Linked DNA regions of Elephas maximus indicus. The protein of the gene in region 2 purifies or fractionates together with the protein of the main gene of each other region. This does not show direct contact. Links are inferred from orthologs where the notes say so. Each region holds a gene or a part of one and is shown on either strand. Other genes may lie near its edges.

Region 1 (7,741 bases), on a different chromosome or scaffold from region 2:
ATAAGTGGTGAGACCCTTGTGCCAGCCCTTGTGGGACTTCCACTCCAAAGCATATGGATAATGCCCACATCACTCCCCTCTGCCCACATCACTCCCCTCCGCCCTTTTCTAATCCATACAGTGATTAGAAAGCATGGGCTTTGGAGTGAGGATTTACTAGGTTCAAATTCCACTCTCCTACTTAACTACTACCTGTCCAAATCCCATTAATCTAATCTCCTAAACCTACTCCCTCCACACCATCTTTGCCATCTCAGTAAACATCAGCTCCATGCTTCTACCTGCTGAGCTCAAATTCCTGGTCATCCTTGACTCTCTTTCTCACACTCCCCACAACCACCTGCAGCAAATCCTGCCAGCCCAACCTTCAAAATACCTCCAGAATCCAACCACTTCAAACCATCCTCACTGCCACCACCATCATTGCTTGCCTGGGCTGTGTCCCCCGGCTTCCACTCTCACCCCCTATAGCACAGATTTGAGAGTTAGATACCCTGAGTACAAATCCTAGATCTGCCATGCCCTAGCTGTGTGACCTTAGGCAAGTCATTTAACTTTGCTGGGCCACAGTTTCCTCATCTGTAAATAAGAATATAGCTAACATCTTACTAGCATTCATTAGGTAACAGGTCCCATGCGTTATTAACTAATTTATTCCTCACAACACTCTATTATCACCCCCATTTTACAGATCAGGTAAGTGAAGTACAGAGAGTTTGGGAAAGTAGCCCAAGGTTACACAGCCAGGATTGGAACCCAAGCAGGCTGGCTCTAGTCTTAACTATCCTTCACTAACCTCCTCTAGCAACAGTAACAGTTCCCACTTCACAGTTAGGGGAGTTAAATGAGTTTCTTAGGAAGTGGCTGGCACACTGAAAGTACTCAGTAACTGTTACCTATCATCATCTCCACTCCTGGGCTCAGCATCTAAGAAGTATTCTCAATCTTTGCAATTGGTTTGTCTTCCTAGGGAGGTGGGAAGAAAGACTTATTTGGGGATTCATTCTGGCTTCTGCCCCCTCAGAAAGCCACTTAGTTTCCCCACCTGTAAAATGGACATGAGACATCTTTTAGGATCGAAGGAGAAAATTCCGTTTGGAAAACAAATGCAGGCAGTGGGAGGCAGGAGGGCAAGAAGCCTACTCCCTTGAGACACTCCTCCCCGGCCCAGGATCACGGTCACCCCCAGACTCACACGAATCTTCTTGTAGTCACACAGGTACTCGACTTCAAAGTCATAAAGATTCCTCTTGGAGATACCGAGGGAAGGGCAGGAGAGCTTGGCCAGGCGGCACAGGTCCTGTAGCTGATTCCAAGAAGACTTGCAACACACGCTGCAGCCTGGAACAAGGGGGCAGGAAGAACTATTACTGGGTAGCCTGGCCAGGCACCCAAAAGGACCCCAAATCCTCCCTGGGACTTTCCAAGGACTGCCTCAGTCAGATTTAATCCACAGGCCTTTCCGAAAGCTGGGACCCTTCTATAACCAAAATGTGCCATTTCCTTGAACCCCAAGGCTCACTGCTCAAGGCTACCCCTGGAGCAGAGGTCCTCAAAGTCTGTCCTAAAGGAATCAATTCCCAGAGCTTCTAACTCCCTTACTATTTGTTAAAACTTCCAGCAAACCTGCCTAGAGTTCGGAATCTGAGCACCCTTCTCCTCACTTTACAAAAGAAAGGGAACAACCCCCCCATCTCAGTAGGATGCTCTAAGGGGAAGGTGGTGGGGGCGAGAATTAAAACCTCCAGGGCACAAAACAAAGGCAAAACTGGAAAGACTGGTCCACAATGTCTTATCTGAAAAGGCGGGGGGGGGGGGGGGGGGCAGATATGTTTAAAAAAAAATCTTTTTTTACAAATGTATTTCCATGTATCTACCATAACACCCCCAGTACTTAGGGTATCATGCCATAATCAAATGCATTAATATATCTACAGCAAAAGTAAGAATTTTCACATTAAATAGGAGAAATAAAAATGTAAAATAGTGGCACTGAATAGTTCTACCTTATAATCTAGTTTTGCCACTGAATGGTGCCCAATTTAAGAAAAAGATTTCAGTTTTCAGGATTTTTTAGATTTCAGAATTTTTAATAAATGTGGAATGGTAGATTACAGGCAACTTCCTTGAATGAGTAGTCTTGGTACCTTAAACCCCACTGCATTTTTTTCACATTGTGGTTTGACTTTCCCTGCTTCATCCACATTTCTGTGAAGGGTAAAGCTGGCCCAAATGGGTATGTTCTGAATTCAGGAATAGGCAAAGCAGTATATGTTTGTGATGATTCTTTTAAATATGCCTGGAATGTTTTCTGGGGCTACCAAAAATTTTTAGGACACACTGATTAAAAAAATAAAGATTTATATTTGATTCCACATTGTTTTAGAAGTCATTTTATCAAATCATTTCACAACACCTATTTTATAGTTTTTAAGTGTTTAACATTTTCTACCTCCCATTACAAAAATCAAGTTTATTTAAACTCACGATAAAGTATGTCAACCTAAAAATATACAAGAGCTTTTCAAAATTATTTCATGTACACTTCCCTCCTCCACTTAGGCAGGCCTAGACTCTTCAACTCTGTATCTCCCTTCCAGGCTCTGGGCCTAGGCCCAGGCTTTCCCCTCCCTGTGATGCCCTCTCCCTTCCAAACCCCTTAACTCGTATTCAAAACCCCCCATCTCAAGTGGTCCCAACTAACATCGCCAGCTGCTGGCTCCAGCATGCACTTGGCACTGACCTGGCTACACTCTCCTAGCCCTCAGAGGTCCCCCCACCCCCCACCGCCACACTTGTGGTCTCTCATCCTCCCCGCAGCTTTCCTCAGAGAGGAGCCCACTCCACCACCCTCCATACTGAGAAAATCACCCTTTCCCTGCACACTGGGGAATCCACTTCCCCCCATCCTGGGGGAGTCCACTCTACTCCAAACTCCTTCCCTGCTTACCCCTGAACAGTACCCTGTCCCCCCACTGAGTGGATCACTTAGCATCTATACCCAAGGGTCGGGCTCCCTCTCCTCCCTTTCCGGCATCTCGCGTGGGCACCAGGCGGGTAACGGTCACCGGCGGCCCATTTTCCCGCGCGCGGGTGCGGCCTCCCGGACGACCCCCTGCGCGTACGCGCGCCGGTCCAGTCGCGACCTGGAGCACGCGCTCCCACGCCCGCCCCATCCCGCGCCCGCCCTTCACCCCGCGCCGGCCACGTTCGGAGACACGCGCCCCTTCCCACAGCCCCGCCCAGCCCCGCGCACCAGGCCCGCGCTCCCCGAGCCCCATCCTTTCCACGCCAGGCTTCCAGCTGCCGGCTCCGTGGCCTCGGATGCCGGGCCCCTGAGCCCGCTGCGCCATCCCTCCAGCCCACCCCGGCCCTGCCAGCGAGCCTGCGCCGCTGCCGCCACCGCTTCACCTTTTAAATTTTCCGCCATCTTTCCCCACGGCTAACGACATTCGGGCCTACTCGGCCTCGCGAGAAGAGAGCTCGCGCGGGCGTGGCCGAGAACGCACAGCCTATTGGCCACGCCGCGCAGCGAGCGGCGCCCGCGCGGACCAACCGGCGAGCGTGACCGGACCCCTCCCCGCCACCCCACCGGTCCCGAAGGCGGGTGCTTGCCTTCGGTTTCCCAGAGTGCGCCTGGGCGGTGGCAGCGGCAGCACCGGTAGCTGGGGCTGCCGGAGGCCCTGCCTGTACGCGGGTCTGTCTGTCACGCTGTTAGCCAATCACGTTGTTAACAGTCGTAGAGGCGGATTCTCCGTCCTGTCAGACCCCCAGTTAGCACTGTCAATCAGCCAGTCGCCCAGTTCAGGTCACCACAGCTGTCTAGTCAGACACCCCACCCCCCTTACACCCTATCAGTCTGTCAGGGAGTAGCGGCATCCATTTGTGTCCTCAGGCCAGCTGCAATGCCCTCAACTCAGACTGCACTTACTACCAACTCCCCTTGTTAGCCAGCCTGACCGCTCCTTTACATTGTCAGTCAATTAGCCTGTCATACCACGTACCCTTGCCCTGGGACCTGGAGGAATCATCTCATACACCCCTCAGTAAGCCACAGCATCGGGCCATGCCCTTAGGCAGGCTGTGATTAGGTCAGGACAAGCTGTCATTTTCAGCATCTAACATAGCCCTGTCACCCTGTAATTCCCTCAGGTTGCTACTCATTCACACCATGATCAGCCAGTTAATCAGTCTTAACACCGAGCTAGGCCTTCAGAGCAAATAGTCACAGCGACTAATGGTACAATAGAGCCTCCACACTACCCGTCAATAGGTCAGCCAGTCTGTAATTTCTCAGGCTACTTATCCACACCATTGGCCGGTCAGTCAATCTCCTGTGACCCATTGGGCTCTATCAGGGAGCCTGTGATTCCATCAGGGCAAACAGTCCATAACCATGTACAGCCACCAAGTGAGGCAGTTATGCTAAGTTTTCAGATGGTCAGGCAGCCTGTGATTCCTTCAGTTGGTCCTTCATCATATTGTCAGTCAGCCGGTTCGTCATCCTCAGAATCCAACTGACCACACTGTCTGTCAGAGAGTCATTCAGTCAGAGCAACCATCCAGGCCCTCAAGCATGCTGTGGTTCACTCAAGATGAACAGTGTCTTAGTTCTCTAGTGCTGCGACAACAGAGATACCACAAGTGGATGGGTTTAACAAAGACATATTTGTTCTCTCACAGTCTAGTAGGCTAGAAGTCCAAATTCAGGATGCCAGCTCCAGGGAAAGGCTTTCTCTCTTTGTTGGCTCTGGAGGAAGGTCCTTGTCATCAATCTTTCCCTGGCCTAGGAGCTTCTCAGCACAAGAACCCTGGGTCCAAAGGACACACTATTCTCCTGGCTCTTGTTTCTTGGTGGCATGAGGTCCCCCTGTCTCTCTACTCGCTTCTGTCTTTTATATCTCAAAAGAGATTGACTCAAAAGAACCTAATCTTGTAGAATGAATCCTGCCTCATTAACATAACTGTCTCTAATCCTGCCTCATTAACATCATAGAGGTAGGATTTACAACACATAGGAAAATCACATCAGATGATGAAATGGTGGATAATTACACAGTATGTGAATCATGACCTAGCTAAATTGACATTTTGGGGGACACAATTCAATCCATAACAGTCAGTCACCATATATAGTAGCCTATCAGCCAAACCAAACCCATTGCCATCAAGTTGATTCTGACTCATAGGGAGCCAATAGGACAGAGTAGAACTGCCCCACAGGGTTTCCAAGGAACAGCTAGCTGGTGGATTCAAACTGCTGAACTTTTGGTTAGCAGCCGAGCTCTTAACCACTGCACCACCAGGGCTCCCATCAGCCAAAAGACCTCCATAAAGTTTTAAGAAGCAAAGATATCACTTTGACAACTAAGGTGTGCTTGACCCAGGCCATGGTCTTTTCAATCTCATATGCATGGAAAGGCTGGACAATTAAAAGGTAGACAGAAGAAGAATTGATGCATTCGAACTGTGATGTTGGCAAGGAATATCAAATACACTGTATACTGCCAGAAGAACAAACAAATCAGTCTTAGAAGAAATACAACCAGGATGAGACTCCGACTCACTTACTTTGGACATGTCATCCCAAAAAGCAGTCACTAGAAAAGGACATCATGGTTGAAAATAGAGGGTCAGTGAAAATGAAGGAAACCTTTAATGAAATGGACTGACACATAGCCACAACAATAGGCTCAAACACACCAATGATCATGAAGATGGCACAGGACCAGGCAATGTTTCATTCTGTTATACTTAAGGTTGTCATGACTTGGAGCCAACTCAATGGCAACTAACAATAACAACAACATCAGGCAACCACAGATTTGTTGATCAGTCAACCTGAAATTCAGCGTAGCCCTTCTTTACGCATCATCAGACTATAACATTTAGACATTCCCTCAGCCCTGTAACATCCTGCCTCCCAGTCCGGCAGCAACACCATCAGTCAGTTGGTCAGCCTGTAACTCTTTCAGGAGGCTCCTTGTCCTCCACACTGTCAGGCCACCAGCCCCAGCCAGGCCCAGGCGGGCTGTAAGTCAGTCAGATGTTCAGTACTTCACAGCATCAGGAAACCACATTGTCAGTTCCTCAAATTGCCCCTCTCCCTGTTGGTCCATGAGTTGCACAGTTAACCAAATGGTTATACAGTTAGCCAGTTATTCTGTCTTCCTGCTAGTCCAGCTGTGAGCTGATTGGAGGAATGGCTGGTCAGTCTGACGTTCTATCAGCCCCTCCTTACCATAAGTGTAACAGTCAAAAGCGTAATCCCACCAGGCATGCCCCTTCCCTCCTTTATTCTTTCTAGAACAGAGTCACATGCTGGTCCTCACGTGCCCCAGTCTCCTTGGGTGGCCTGGGCCATCCCACTTCCAGAGGCCTTGGAGACCTGCCCAACCCACAAGAGTGGTTTAAGGCATGACCTTTTTCCACCTGAATCTGGAGGGGAGCTATAGGGGTCTGCTAGTGATGAAGAGCTTCCTTTGGGCCTCTCCAAACAATATAATGTATCGGGTAAAGGCATGGATTCTGGAGCCAGACTGCCTGGGTTCAAATCCTGGCTCCACCACTTACTAAATTGTGTGACCTTATACAAGTTAACCCTATGGACTAGTTAACCCTTTGGGACTAGCACCTTTTCAGGAGACCTCAAAAGTAAGAGGTCATCCTAGTACTCCTGTGTCCTGCCTAAAGCCATTTGTCTGTTTGTTCAGCATTAATCCAGTGCCTCTTGTGTATATTGCCTCTCTTAGTGCTGAGGGCATAAGGTTTTATCCATTTTAAGCTGCACAGGTTGAACCTGTTTTTAATGTAAACCTCATGGTGAAGTGTAACACACATACAGAAGAGTACATAGACCATGGGAGAATGTCATGAAGAGTTTTTACAAGTGAATACGCATGTAGAACCAGAAGGCAGGTCAAGAAACAACATAACCAGCCAGGCCTCCAGAACTGTTTAATTTTTTAACATCTCTGAAATCAGCCTGTGTCTTACAAGCACTGTTGGGTCATAATTTAATTGGTAGGTTTTTTTTTTTTTTTTTTTTTTTTGCTTTTCTTAGTGATCCATAAAATAATGGTGTATTTTATAATTTTATAAATCAATGGTGAGTCAGAGTCAGTGAAATTCAGTAATAACAATAACAACCACAGCAACAATAGTGGCAGCTAATGTTTATAAATGCCTACAATGATCCAGACAGTTTGCAGACACCATCTACTTTAATTCTCAATACAGCCCTATGAGGTAAGCATTTTTATTTCTATTTTAAAGACTGAGGAAACTGGGGCCCAAAGAGGTCAAGTAACTCACCCACGGTCAATTCTTTCACCTCGAGTCTCTGCCTTCTCTAGCCCATGCTCAAGGGGATTCAGAGGTTGGGTGATGCCTTCCTATCCAAAGGTGGAGAAACGGCCCTAGCACCCAGCAGAAGGGAGATGTCTTGGAGCACTGGATTTCTAGGCTTTCTGCAGGGGTGGGGAGGGGGTAATTGATACCTGACAGGTCCTTTCTAGACTCAGTGCTCATGCTGGGAGCCTGGCTGGTTAGGGTGGGAGTGGAATAATGAAATATTTCAAAAATTAAAAGAAACCTGAGACACGCCCCCTCCTCCTCCTCAAGGGGAATTTCCCCTTACATGGTTCTGGGAGAATTTTTAAGGGGCAAAGCCAGCTCCCACTCCTGATATCTTATCCCCAATGCCCCCAATGTCTAGCTGGTTTCCTCCCTCTCCCTCTAC
Region 2 (7,742 bases):
AGTGACAGAAGTCAGATACAAAAGACCGTATGATTCCATTTATATGAAATTTCTAGAAAAGGCAAAACTACAGAGACAAAGTAGATCAGTTGTTGATGGAGGTGGCAATGGAGACTGGCGATAAAAAAGCACAAGGGAACATTTTTGGGATGACGCAAGTGTTCTACAACTGGACTGTGGTAAAGGTTGCACAACTGTATAAATTTACTAAAACTCAAACCACACACTTAAAATCAGTGAATTTTATGGTACATAAATTATACTTTAATGAAAAAGTCAAAAAATTGACTAAGCCAAAGAACCTATTGTTGTGGGATACATACATAGCTGGTGATGCCACTTCTGAAGAAACGCAAGGGAATTCAGAACAGAGGTTACAAAGAATTGGGAAAGAAGGTTGATGCCAACTGAGGAGTAACAAAGAGGGGACATCTATGATACTAATAGGTCAGGCAGTTCAAAATATCAAGTTGGTGACTCTGGTTTCCCCTTTCTTATCTTCCATCTGCTCATCTTCCAGTTCGAGACTTTTCTATCCAAAGCCTTATCCCTTACCTGAATCAATACTGAGTACATCATCATCTTCATCAGGAATCTCGATTATTTCTGTAGGCCGAGAAGCTTCATCCTCAGAGCTACTTTCCCGGTATTGTAGTCCCAGCTTGGAGTAGAAGTCCTTCACCAAAGACTCACAATTAGTCACTGCCCTAATTGGAACACATGTGGAAAAGAAGGTCAAAACCAGCAGATGAAGTAGGTGTCAAAAAAAAAAAAAACCAAAACCAAACCCACTGCTGTTCAGTCGATTCCGACTCATAGCGATCCTATAGGACAGAATAGAACTACCCCATAAAGTTTCCAAAGAGCGGCTGGCAGATTCGAACTGCCGACCTTTTGGTTAGCAACCATAGCACTTAACTACTACGCCACCAGAGTTTCCGAAGTAGGTGAAGGAACCATTAAAATTTATATATAAGTGTAGACTGTCCTCAATTTAAACCATACGCTATATAATTGTAAATTCTGCTGTTTAGAATTTAACATGCTTTTCCCATAGAAAAATGTTTTAAATGGTGGTCTGGTTTCCAGACTAGTTCCTCAAATATCCAAAATAAGCCCAGAGCATAGTCCTTTCAACCGTACCTCATTAATTAGCTTATTGTTATTTGAAAATGTGTTTTAGGTAACAACTAGGGCACCATAAACAAATCTTCTGGGGGTTTAGGAGCAGATATAGGGTTTTTCAAGTTTATTAATGCTCTACAACTACATAAGACAGCAAGTAACTCTTTACGATTTTGATTCCCTAAATGATTTTATTAGGGAAACAAAGTAGGATTATGAAGTAGAATGGGGAAAGAGAAAAGGGACTCAAGACATGGACTCCCCTACTGCTGATCACATGTGAAGCTCTGATAAATGGGTAGTCTATGTATGGTGGTTGTGAAGTCTGATTCTGAACCATAAACTATGAGGAAGAATAGGGTCCTACACATTTGTACTTTATAAAGTACAAAGTGCTTTGCACGATGTCGTGACCAATTATACATTAAAAATGCCTGCAATGAAGAGATTTCCTTTTAGTTTCTGTATAGTCCTCACCTGGATGCATCATCAAAGAGCTGATCAACATGGGCCACCTCAGATTCCTTCTGTATTACCCAGGTCTCCAATTCTGCTAGCTGCTTCTTGCGCTGCTGTACGCAGTCCATCTTTTCCAGTTCTTCATCAATGAACTGCCGAAGTTCCTCCATAGAGATGCCTAGCTCCTCAACCACAGCCTGCTGCAGCTCTGCAATCTCTTCAGACTCCACTGCAGCAGTTGCTGCCTCCAAACCGACGCACTCAGGAATGGAGGACATGCTGATGTCCTCTGAATAGAACAGAATTACCCTTGGGGTCATTGTAACTACAATCAGTAGGAAATTTCACTCCCCTAATAAAACTCATTCCTACTCTGTTACCTGCTATTTAAATTTGATTCTATGTTCTCTTTCCCCATTCTCCAGAATTTGATGCTGAGATTTCGTAGAGTTCTCAGCCTATGCTATACACTAACAGGCCTGAATAAGATTTCAGATTGAAAAGCGTGGAAAACACAGTCCCATAGGCTACATAGGCATCTTACCTTACAATTCACATATGACATAATAATGCTTATTTTCTAGCGTCTGTAAAAAATTCTATTCTGTACGTGCATTTCACGTCAGTGTGTTACCAGAAGTTAGGAACTGGTTACATTTATGTTGTTCTTTTTTACAAGGCTTCTAACATAATTTTGCAAGCTGGTTGTTATAGGATACTTGAAACAGAACTTGAAAATTCAGTTGGGGGACATTCCAGGTGGGGGAAAACTATGAGAGTATTTCAAGAACTTTGGATGTTTTGGGTAAAACACAGGTAGTGGTGAGATAAACTGAAAAGCTAAATTGGAGCCAAATTAGAATGCCTTGCAAGGCTTAAGAAGTTTTACCTGATTCTTATGCAGTGGAGAACCAATGAAAATGTTTTAGCAAACTGAAGAGAATCAATCTACATAGGAAAATAATTTCTGTGAGCCAATTGGTTTCTTAATCGACTAATGAGATAGATCTATGCCTACATCTTATCCCTAATTTGAACAAATATCCCCACCTGGGGAGGGGGCTTTGCTCTGTAACGCACTTTGCGGTGTTTTCTCTTTTAACTACTTGTCTCCCTTATATTACTTCGCTTCGGTGTGAAAATTTACTTTCTAAATGTGATCGCTGTCTGTAACGCCACAAAAAAAGTCTTAAGCACACAAAAGCTTGCAGCAAAAAGAGGTACCCCTAAAGTAAAAGGAAGTAAATTAATTTGGGAATAAAATGTGGCTATCTTAAGTTCACAATCCAAAAAACTCACATTGGCGTTAAACTGTTTTTCCGATCAAACGGTAGAAACAAGACTGATGTCAGATAAGCCGTGCGACCTCAACGCCAGTTCCCAGTGCCTCCATTTTTTTACCACACCCGTCCGACCCTCCCTCCCCCAAGCTACCCAATTTAGAGGGGGCGTCCCATCCACCCATAGGCCCATCTCGACCCCGCCCCCGGTCGCCTCTCGGGGAAAACTTCCTTCCTACTTTCGCCCAACCTCCTTCTACAAACAAAACATTCCAGACAAGCCTTTGGTCCCTAGATACCTCAACTAACAGTATTCCCTACCTCCCCGCTCCCAGCTGCAAAAGCTCTTTTTCACCAACCAGACCCCAGACTCACCACTCTCAGGTCGGCCTGGACGGGAAGAGGAAAGAACGAAAACGAAGGGAATGAAGAACAGGGGAGGGGGAGGAAACGTGAGGGAGGAAAGGGGACGCCCGGAAGCAAACCTTAGGCGCCGTTCCGGTCACCGCGACGGTAGCCTAATGGGGTCAAATTCAAAGCCGCGGGGCGCCCCTAAGAGGCTGAGACTGACTTAGGCGACTACGCATGCGTCAAGGCAGAGCCTTTCGGAGCACACGTGAGAATCCGTGGCCGGATAAAGTAGGCGTGGCCAGGAGTGTATTAAAGAAGCCCCGCCTCTTCTACCACCCTTCACTCCCACCACCCTCCACTGGTGCCAGTGATTCTACGGTTATTGTGTAAAGACTCAGTAGACAAACAATCTTAGGTTTCGGTATTATTTGTTACTTTTACTTGATTTTATTACGTAAATCATACAAATCAAAGGATATCCAGATGTAATAAGAAAAACGTGATAATCATTTCCCCTCCCCTTATTTACTACCTCTGCTCCTTTGATATAAGACAACTTTTTTCTCTAGGCTTATACATGAACTTTCATGCATATGGATTTTTTGTTTTCATTTAATGTGTGGCTATTGCTTGAAGTCAATGAAAGAGATAAAACTTGTCTTTTTGACAACTGCATAATACCCATTTCCATCAAACGGACTCATAGCAACCCCATAGGGTTTCCAAGGCTGTCTACGCGGAAGCCAACTGCCACTTCTTTCTCTCACAGAACCGCTGGTGGCTTCAAACGGCGGAGCTGTCGCTTAGTCGATTGCCTTAACCTGTACGCCACCAGAGCTTCTATTTCTGTGGGATAAATTCCCCAAAACCGTTATCTCTGAGTGAAAAGATTTGCACATTTTTCATTTTAAAGGAATCTTTTGTCAAATTACTTTTCAAAAGGTTGTAACAATTTATACTTCTACTAACAAATTTTTGAAAGTACCTGTTTCCCCCCACTCTCATTAGAACTGAATGTTAACTCTCTACTTAATTTTTTTTAATTGTGCTTTACAAATCAAGTGAGTCTCTCATACAAAAACATACACACGTTGCTGTGTACTCCTAGCTGTTCTCCCGCTAATGAGACAGTGCACTCTTCCTCTCCACCCTGTATTCCCAGTGTCCATTCAACCAGCTCCTGTGCCCCTCTGCCTTCTCACCTCCCCTCCAGACAAGAGCTGCCCACTTAGCCTCATGTGTCTACTTGAGCCAAGAAGCTCACTCCTCACCAGTATCATTTTCTGGCTTACAGTCCAGTCCAATCCCAGTCTGAAGCGTTGGCTTCAGGAATGGTTCCAGTCTTGGGCTAACAAAAGGTCTGGGGACCATGGCCTCTGGGGTCCCTCTAGTCTCAGTCAGACCGTTAACTCAGGTCTTTTTATGAGAAATTGAAGTCTGTATCCCACTTTTCTTCTGCTCCAGCATGGATTCTCTGTTGTGTTCCCTGTCAGGGCAGTTATCTGTCATAGCTGGGCACCATCTAGTTCTTCTGATCTCAGGCTGATGGAGTCTCTGGTTTATGTGGCCCTTTTTATCTCTTGGGTTCTTATTTACCTTGCATCTTTGGTATTCTTTATTCTCCTTTGCTCCAGGTGGGTTGAGACCCATTGATGCATCTTACATGGCTGCTTGCCAGCATTTAAGACCCCAGACGCCACTTACCAAAGTGGGATGCAGAGTGTTTTCTTAATACATTTTGTTCTGCCACCTGACCTAGATGTCCTCTGAAACCATGGTTCCCAGATCCCTGTCCCTGCTACTCTGGCCTTTGAAGTGTTCTGTTGTATTCAGGAAACTTCTTTGCTTTCGGTTTAGTTCAGTTGTGCTGACCTCTCCTGTGTGTTGTCTTTTCCTTCACCTAAAATAGGTCTTGTCTGCTATCTAATTTGTCTACTTAATTTTTAAGAACTTGATGTGTGTAAAATAATATTTGTATCAGGATAGGCTAGGTTATATTGTGGAACTCAGCTCATGGTAGCCACTCAGGGACCCAGGCTGATGTGTAGCTAAGCCAAAGAGAGAGAGTTACCAACGGCCTCACATGGCAATTAAAGTAACTTAGATCACTTTCATTTACAACTCATTGGCTCCAACTAGTCATAAGGCCCCACCCAGTCACAAGAGACAATGAATGCAATGCCATTCCTCTTCAAGTTGCCATTCCTGGTATAGTAGATCATATGATTGTCTGATTCAAAATGGCCAATACCAGTTCATTTCAGCTCACTAATGCCTAGGATATCGATGTTTATGTGTTCCATTTCATTTTTGATGTTTTCCAGTTTTCCTAGATTCATAATTCGTACATTCCATCTTCAAATTATTAATAGATGTTTGCAGCTGTTCTTCTCATTTTGAGTCATGCCACATTAGCAAATGAAGGTCCCAAAAGCTTGACTCCATCTACATCATCAGGATCCACTCTACTTTGAGGATGCAGCTCTTCCCAAATTGTCTTTTGAGTGCTTTCCAACCTGGAGGGTTCGTCTTCCAGCACTATATCAGACAATATTCTGCTGCTATTCATGAGGTTTTCATTGGCTAATTGTTTTCAGAGGTAGACCACTGGGTCCTTTTTCCTAGTCTGTCCTAGTCTGGAAGTTCAGCTGAATCCTGTCCACCATGGGTGACCCTGCTGGTATTTGAATACTGGTGGCATAGCTTCCAGCATCACAGCAACATGCAAGCCCCCACAGGACGACAAACTGGGAATTCCAGAACACTTAGTTTTGCTTATAAGGAACCTGTGGACAGATCAAGAGGCAGTCGTTCGAACAGAACACGGTGATACTGTGTGGTTTAAAGTCAGGAAAGTTGTGCGTCAGGGTCGTATCTTTTCACCATACCTATTCAATCTGTATGCTGAGCAAATAATCTGGAGAAAGATGCATTAACAACCTGTGTTATGCAGATGACACAACCTTGCTTGCTAAAAGTGAAGAGGACTTGAAGCACTTACTGATGAAGATGGAAGACCCCAGCCTTCAGCATGGATTATGCCTCAACATTAAGAAAACAAAACCACCTACAACTTGACCAATAAGCAACATCATGATAAACAAAGAAAATGCTGAAGTTGTCAAGGACTTCATTTTACTTGGATCCACAATCAACATTCAACATTCATGGAATCACAATCAACATTCATGGAAGCAGCAGTCAAGAAATCAAAAGACGCATTATTGCACTGGAAAAATCTGCTGCAAAAGACCTCTTTAGAGTGTTGAAAAGCAAAGATGTCACACTGAAGACTAAGGTGCGCCTGAGTTAAGCCATGGTGTTTTCAATTGCCCCAAATGCATGCGAAAGCTGAACAATGAATAAGGAAGAGCAAAGAAGAACTGACGCCTTTGAATTGTGGTGTTGGTGAAGAATGCTGAATATACCATGGCCTGGGAAAAGAATGACCAAATCTATCTCGGAAGAAGTACAACCAGAATTCTCCTTAGAAGCAAGGATGGCGAGGCTACATCTCATGTACTTTGGACATGTTACCAGGAGGGATAAGTCCCTGGAGAAGGACATCATGCTTGGTAAAGTAGGGGGCCAGGGAAAAACAGAAAGACCCTCAACAAGGTGGACTGACACAGCAGCTGCAACAATGGGCTCAAGCATAACAATGATTGTGAAGATGGCGCAGGTCCAGGCAGTGTTTTGTTCTGTGGGTCGCTACAGGTCGGAAGTGACTCAACAGTACCTAAGAACAACAACAACCACAAGAGTGCCAGGAAGGGCAGGCCTACGTAATTGCTGGAATGTGAGAGGACTGGGTATAGCTGATAAAGTGTGTTACAATGTAGAACATTTTCTTTATAAATTGTTATGCCAATTGAGCTAGATGTCCCCTGAGATCATGGTCTCTAGCCCTCAGCCCAGTAATTTGCTCCCTCTGGGAGTTTGGATGTGTCTGTGAAGCTCCTATGACCTCACCTTGATCAAGTTGTGCTGACTTTCCCAGTATTGTGTACTGTCTTACTCTTCGCCAAAGTTATCACTTACCTGTTGTCTAGTTAGTGTTTTTCCCTTCCCACCCCTACCCTCCCTCGTAACCATCAAAGATTGTTTCTTTCTATGTGTAAACCTTTTCATAGATTTTTATAGTAGTGGTCTCATACAGTATTTGTCCTTTTGTGATTGACTTATTTCGCTCAGCATATGCCTTCCAGATTCCTCCGTGTTGTGAGATGTTTCAGAATCATCATTGTTCTTTATTGTTGCATAGTATTCCATTGTGTGTATGTACCATAGTTTGTTTATCCATTCATCTGTTGATGAACACTTAGGTTGTTTCCATCTTTTTGCTATTGTAAATAATGCTGCAGTGAATATGGGTGTGCACATGTCTCTTCATTTGATGGTTCTTATTTCTCTAGGGTATATTCCTAAAAGTGGGATTGCTGGATTGTATAGTATTTCTATGTCTAGTTTTTTAAGGAAGTGCAATATTATTTTCCAAAATGGTAGTACCATTTGGCATTCCCACCA

What was found. The genes of interacting proteins can lie anywhere in the genome.
Region 1: the proteins of SETDB1 (region 2) and SUV39H1 purify together in Homo sapiens (affinity purification with mass spectrometry; 3 studies listed by BioGRID and IntAct, counting the BioPlex papers as one, with this or other methods). This does not show direct contact. The link is inferred for Elephas maximus indicus from reciprocal best matches to the Homo sapiens genes SETDB1 and SUV39H1.

Annotation. Positions count from the first base shown.
Region 1 is NC_064846.1:122,905,794-122,913,534, reverse strand, and holds the start of SUV39H1 (histone-lysine N-methyltransferase SUV39H1), read right to left. Parts: upstream 3,340-7,741; 5' UTR 3,282-3,339; coding exon 3,257-3,281; intron 1,342-3,256; coding exon 1,196-1,341; intron 1-1,195. UniProt on the Homo sapiens protein: Histone methyltransferase that specifically trimethylates 'Lys-9' of histone H3 using monomethylated H3 'Lys-9' as substrate. Also weakly methylates histone H1 (in vitro).
Region 2 is NC_064821.1:184,996,704-185,004,445, reverse strand, and holds the start of SETDB1 (histone-lysine N-methyltransferase SETDB1), read right to left. Parts: upstream 3,437-7,742; 5' UTR 3,350-3,436; intron 3,344-3,349; exon of another isoform or gene 3,240-3,343; intron 2,983-3,239; exon of another isoform or gene 2,884-2,982; intron 1,874-2,883; 5' UTR 1,863-1,873; coding exon 1,603-1,862; intron 708-1,602; coding exon 556-707; intron 1-555. UniProt on the Homo sapiens protein: Histone methyltransferase that specifically trimethylates 'Lys-9' of histone H3. H3 'Lys-9' trimethylation represents a specific tag for epigenetic transcriptional repression by recruiting HP1 (CBX1, CBX3 and/or CBX5) proteins to methylated histones.